2 separate regions of the Mus musculus genome follow, and region 2 is reported to be linked to region 1. The links are microRNA targets in miRTarBase. Many come from high-throughput screens and were not tested one by one. Region 1 holds a microRNA gene; the other region holds the end of a gene's coding sequence.
Evidence for each region. Region 1 holds the annotated microRNA mmu-miR-30e-5p (UGUAAACAUCCUUGACUGGAAG, at 1,687-1,708, opposite strand). A microRNA usually pairs through its seed, bases 2 to 8, with sites in the 3' UTR of a target mRNA and lowers its output. Matches are read on the target gene's strand: a 7mer-m8 pairs with bases 2 to 8, a 7mer-A1 pairs with bases 2 to 7 and ends in A, and an 8mer does both.

Region 1 (3,220 bases):
ACTGTTGTCAGGACAAGCATGGCTATTTTCAAATTGCTGTGATGGAAGGAGGCACAAGTAAGGTTCTTCTGCTTTATGAAGCACTCATTCTGCAAATGGAGATCAAGCCAGCAGGAAATGATGATGCTTGATTTAAAGAAATGGGTGAAAAGATAATGACATTTCAATGAGCAAGGAACTTTCAACTCATAGCTTAGTCGGGGAGAAGTCAACCCTCAACTACCATCTACTTGCAGACAATCTACTTACTTCCATGGCAAAAAAGAGAGAGGGAGACTCCAAATCATCTCTGAGAAGCCTCATAATCCAGTGTCTCCCTTTCCAGATGGATCAGCACCAAGCCCTAGGAAAACACCTGACCGAATAGGTCAGTACAGAAAGGTACCTGCTCCATGCTAACACTCAGTACAGAAGGGTACCTGCTCCACACTAACAGTGGCTTCTCCAGTGCTGAGACTGAAAAACAGTGACAGTGAACAAACAGTATCACAGCACAGGGTCATCACTACACTGATGAGCAGCCAGCTCCAGACTAGGGGAAAAAATACATTTGCTTTAGTGGCAGGGTGAACTGCTGCCTCCTTCAGAGGGTGTGTTTTGGAGAGTAGGCACTTTTAAAGGACTTTAGGAGGTGCCAGCCAATTTGGAGCTTGGGAAAACTTCATGTCTACAGAGAATTAAAAAATGCTATCTTAGAATTTCAGGCCAGCTTTCAGCAATCTCAACCTTTTAAATGCCAGGCAGCAGCTGTCCTGAATAGGATGCCAATCAATAGCTCAAACACCTACAAAGAACTAAAACCAGGCAGCTAAAGGAGTGTTCTTGCTGTATACCTTTTAAAGGGAGATGGACTAAGTATAGTGGTCCATGCCTTGAATCCCAGCACTCAGGAGGCAGAAGCAGATAGATCTCTCCGAGTTCCAGAACAACCTGGTCTACACAGTCTAGTCTAGCCAGGGATACACAGGGAGAGCCTATCTCAAAAATCCAAACCAAACCAAAGAACAAAAGAGGGAGATGGGGTAGACCACCAGCAAATCTAACACCCTGACAGACCCAGAAGAACAAACAACTTTGGAGGAAGGTATAGGTCAGCAGCTCTCAACCTGTGGGTTGTGACCCCTTTGTGGGATGGAAAGATCCTTTCACATGGATCACCTAAGACTACTGAAAAACAGATAGTTGCATTAAAATTCATAACAGTAGCAAATTACAGTTATGAAATAGCAATGAAAAAAATTTTATTGTTGGGAGGTTATTACAACATGAGGAACTGTATTAAATGGTGCAGCATTAGGAAGGCTGAGAACCACTGGTATAGGATAATAACTTTCTCTTTAGTCATCTATTCAGCAGGCAGCCCATAGTGAACAATCAGTACAATAAGAGCAATGCCTGACTGCATCACAGATCTTACCACCTTGTCTTTAAAGGAAACTCCTGGTGGATACATGGGAGCAAAAATCCAATAAGGAAAACAGGCTCATGGTATTATCAGCTCCAAACGAAGAGAGACAGTCTGAGTTCTTGTGACTTCTCAGAGAGAAAGGAAGTAACCCAAGAAAAGGAGACAAGTTCATGGGCACAAACCTGCAATGTCTCAAAGCCGATGAGCGCAGCCGGGGACGACTGTGGCAGCCTGCCGCTGTAAACATCCGACTGAAAGCTCCTCTCAACACCTTACAGCTTCCAGTCAAGGATGTTTACAGTAGCAAAGACTGCCCAGAAAAATAAAGAGCTTCAGTGAGGCACAACCTGCTCCCATAAGGAGGTGACCCAGGGCTTGCTAACCCAAAAACCCTCATGCAGGGTCAGAATTAATGTCAATTAGGATGCCCACTTCTCCAACAGGTTTTCTGACTGGTTATTTGTACAGGTCAACATGGGGAGAATGGTTGTCATTAAATGACTCTAAACAGTATACTACAAAATAATTAGTTAAAAACACTTATATTTTATGAACAAAAATAAAACAAGCAGGACATGGTATGGCTTTACTTCTCTGAGGCATATTACACTAAACCTAGTGAATCATGCAAACTGCGTGCCTGAAACAATGAGCTCTATAGGACTGGGGTCTATCACAATCACAACTAAGTTATATGCACCCAAGTGCTGAACAAAACAAATGGTGTGATCTTTGGAGATGAACAGGCAGAAGAAGGGCAGACACTTAGTTCTTGTAATTAAAAAGAAAAATGTAAATGGTGGTTCTAAAACTTCACTGGACACCAAAGCATCTAGGGAACTTTAATTATTGATTCCTGGGGTCATGGGGTCATAGGTTCTGACTCAGTGGATGATGGGTAGAGTCATCACACTACAGAGACACAGCATAGAGTAAGAAAATAAAAGCCACTGGCTCCAATCTGATCACTATGCACAAAGAGGTTGTTTCTTAGAATCTGAAAACTGACTGGCTGAAAAAGCTTTTATTTTAGATGAAGAAATCCTGAACTGAGCTTCACCCCACTATCTGTGACTAGTCTTTTTAACTTTGTTCTCTCACTGCAACCCCACCCCAGAGGCACTGAGTTAAAAGTACCCATAAATGAGTAGAAGGAGATGCTGAGGATGATCTGGACTACGGAAGAGAACCACAAACAAGAAATGCTTTGGGTGGGAGGGAGGGAGGAGCTCCGGAGAGCATCTTGCCCAGGCCCTGGAGGTGGCAGCTGAGCAAATCCTCCCAGCTCACCTGGCGCTTTGGAGGTTTCAGTTCATCTCTTGGAACAATATCGATGAGAAAGTCGAACTGATCAAATTTTGTAATTGCCATGGCAATATCATTCCTCTGTAACAAAGAAAAACAAAGTTAAAAACTGGCCTAGGAAGAATCTAGTTCTTTTGGCTGTTATCCTTCAAGTAAAAGGACATGATCCTCTCCTATCCCCTAGTCCCAGTGTCTGGGATTAAACCTAGAGCTTTACACAAGCTAGACAGGTATTCTACCATTGAGCTATGCCCCAGCCCAAGGAGATGACTTTTAGACTGTACTAAAAATCTCTAGGTTTGTCTAGAGCTAAAAATAAGAACAGCTCAATTTATATCAGACTTGCTGGACAGAAATCAACGAAAGAGATACACATATCTCGTGCTCTAGGCCAGGACATCTGAGCCCTACTCACCACTATTTCTGCTTGTTCTGGTTTCAAAGCTTCCATAAAGTTGTAAAACCACCATCCTCTGGCTAATTCAGGACAAAGCCAGCAGTCTCAAC
Region 2 (3,000 bases), not on the chromosome of region 1:
GCTGGAGAAACATTGTCTTGATATAGCTTGCTTAGAAGTCTTCGCCATTAATGGAGATCAAATTGTGCCACTCAAAAGAACACTTGATCTCAAGAGGCATTTGGTGTCTTGTCTTGTTCTAATTCTATGTAAAACAGAGTAGTAGATCTTAAAATATGGTAACTATAATTCAGTAAACAGTGGTGTCCAGGAGATTACTATCAGTGAGCATGATGTTCTTCTAAGGAAAGTTAAATGATTTTTTTTTTAAAATCAGGAATACTATTTCTAAAAGTTCCTTTCCAAAAACACTTTAGGCAAGAAGCTTAGCTTATGGAGACTAGCTAGAGTCTACCATTGTTGGCCACAGTTGAGTGGTCAGGGAGAGCAGGGCATAGTTCTATGTCATATTTTATAGGAGCAGAGCTGTGGCCTAGGCATTGAAAGCAAGAGTGGGGGTGGGGGGGAAAGCTTCCAGGGTCTGTTTTGGCTGATTAGATCAATGCAGATGAGTTGGATTACGACACGTTCCCCTTCTCCATGCATTGTAAGTCAGCTGGGTGGCAGGGTGTATGATGGATGCTTGCCAGGGTTGGAGCCAAGATAGAAAGCTCTTGTTTCATTTTCTTACCAAGCCAGCCTTGCTAACAGGACTGGGACTACCCAGATGGATCTCCCCATCTCCTGTTCAGGGGTTCTCACCTATCATTTTCTCAGATCCTTCAGTTTCTCTTGCAACACAACACAGTAGAGGTACATCTCCTGTTTTCCAAAGATCTGATTAAAAAAAAAAAAGACATCACAGCCACTAGTTCTAATGATGTGCTCATATACTGTTAAGGTGGCGTCTTCTGTTTAGATGTCACTTGTGGTGCCTCTGTTTCAGAGGCTGGAGTTGCCCCACTGGGAGCATAGTCTGTGCACAGCTGGGCTTTACTGCTGCCTTTTATTGGTTTTTGTGATTATTATTGTTATGATGAGTGCTGAATTCTGGGGTCCTGCTATGCAGGCTTCCAGGACATTCTCTTCCATCAGGTACCCGAGGAAGCACTGGAAAGAGAACCCTGACAGAACTGAGTCTAGTCTTAGGCTGAAGGCATACCCAACCTTTAGCCTCTACTTTCCATTCTCCAGGACATCATCTTGATTTGGTTCCCACACAGGAAGAGAATACAAAAGAAGCATCCTAGACTTTCCAGTGCCCAAGGAGACAGGGAAGATCATGATGAAGCAGGTGACATGGATGAGGAAAATGAAGATGATGACAAAGACGGTGAGCATTGTGTTTCCCACAGAGTCCTTGGCTTCTAACTGATTAGATTCATATTTCCTCAGAGGAGTCACCTGTCATACTCTTTGTTCATGCAGATAATTTGGATAAGCATCCCAGCTCTCCACAATGAATTCAACTGGAAAGTGGGAATGATAAAGACTATCTGGCAGTAAGAATAGCAAGAGATGAATCAGCAAATAGAACCATGCCCAGAGGAGTGCCTGGTCCTTATCGGCAACTTCATTAGTGTGGCTTGAACTTGAATTTTCATAGCTTTAGAAAGAACTGTGATGAAGAATACTGATTTTATCTTGAACATGACATAGCAGGCATGCTACCTTCTCTGAGCCTGATGACCTTATCTGCCAAATGGGAACAATAAATCCCCCCAAAGGGCTGTTGTATGTGTGAAAGGAATGTCGGAGGAGGGAGCTTATACTGCCCGACACTAGCAAGAACCAGCAATTAATAGCTATTCTTTCTTTATGCTCCAATGAACAAGTTACTAAGGAGAGAAGACATACCGTCCTGTGGGGATGAATGTGGTGGCTTTGTCCTCCTGCCCCGGTTACTGCCATGCTAGGATCTGCACCCTACAGTGCACTTTCCTGGTGAGTTCCTTTGGTGTGAGCACCATGGAAAGAACAGTCACATAAATTGGGGTCCCAGGGTGCCAAGACTTTTGCTGCCTCCTTGTGAGGCTTCCTGCCTTTTCTTTGAAGACAAGGCTTAAGTCAGAAGCAGAGACAGGGAGAGGAGGAAGGGTGCTGAGGGTGATTACTTCACAACTAGACTACAATTGGGAAGTCGCTGGGAGGTCCTTTCACTCCCCTTTCTGCTAATGGGAGAAGGTCAAGGTGTCTGGCATGGAGGCTATCTCACTCCTAGAGGGCAGTGGCAGGCAGCAGTGGGAACTGAAAAATTGGGTGTCAGAGGGAGAGATTTACTTTTGCACCTACTTCTTCTATGTACTTAGGCCACAAGGTCTGCTGCTCTTAACACGACCTGCATACAAGGTCCTATCATTTGCTATGTCCACCCTTCCCTATCTACTTAGCAGATAATTCCTGCAATTCTTCTTGGACTTTGTGAGGCACAGATGATGGACCCTCCGCTTGGCTTCCCTCACTCTATGCTCAGAGTATTGGCATTTTGTCATAAGAGGATGTTTTGGAATTGTTTTCCTTTATTAGAAGTAAGTACCTCAAGGGCAGGAACCGGATTGAATTTGTCTTTCATTCTCAGTTGCTAGCACAGTGCCTGGCCCAAAGTGGATGGATGCTCATACAAAGTTAGCTTTCCAACCTTGTTTGAGCTATGATGGAGATGGCCAGGGCACCGTGATACAGGGTGTCCAGCGGTCAGCAGCAGTGGCAGCAGCATGGAGGGATGAGAGGCACCTGTGTCAAATCTCTTCTTCTTCATTAGCCTTGCTCCAACGGTGACAACAGTTGGCCGTGATGCCCAGGAGGAAGTTGGTGGCTACAGAAGCGATGGAGACCACAAAGCCCACAAATGCGATGAAGAGGTAATCATCCAGGGTCAGAGTCAGGTGGCAGGCCTTGAAGCTCTCTTCAGTGAGTGAAAAGAGGGGGGCACCCTCAACTTCAGGGGGTCCCCGACACTCAGCAAGCTGAGAATCTGCAACACAGAAATGGGTTAGGGTGAGACTTCTGTGGGAGAGGACGGGATGGAAAAGCCTCCCACTAACCTGCTTCCAGAGAGTTGCTGAGTCTTTTCTATGTGCC

Region 2: miRTarBase lists Lrrc55 as a target of mmu-miR-30e-5p. Seed matches in the 3' UTR shown: 7mer-m8 at 173-179.

Annotation. Positions count from the first base shown.
Region 1 is chr4:120,770,974-120,774,193 of GRCm38, forward strand. It overlaps Mir30e (microRNA 30e), which reads right to left and starts at 1,724; the gene lies at 1,633-1,724. Nfyc (nuclear transcription factor-Y gamma) reads right to left here. Exons shown (of 10, transcript NM_008692.4): 5 at 2,699-2,794. Mir30f (microRNA 30f) reads left to right here and starts at 1,633; the gene lies at 1,633-1,724.
Region 2 is chr2:85,189,253-85,192,252 of GRCm38, forward strand. Lrrc55 (leucine rich repeat containing 55) reads right to left here. Exons shown (of 3, transcript NM_001033346.4): 3 at 1-2,893. The coding sequence ends at 2,658. Among named protein-coding and RNA genes, the nearest start is that of Lrrc55, 8.0 kb to the right of the region's middle.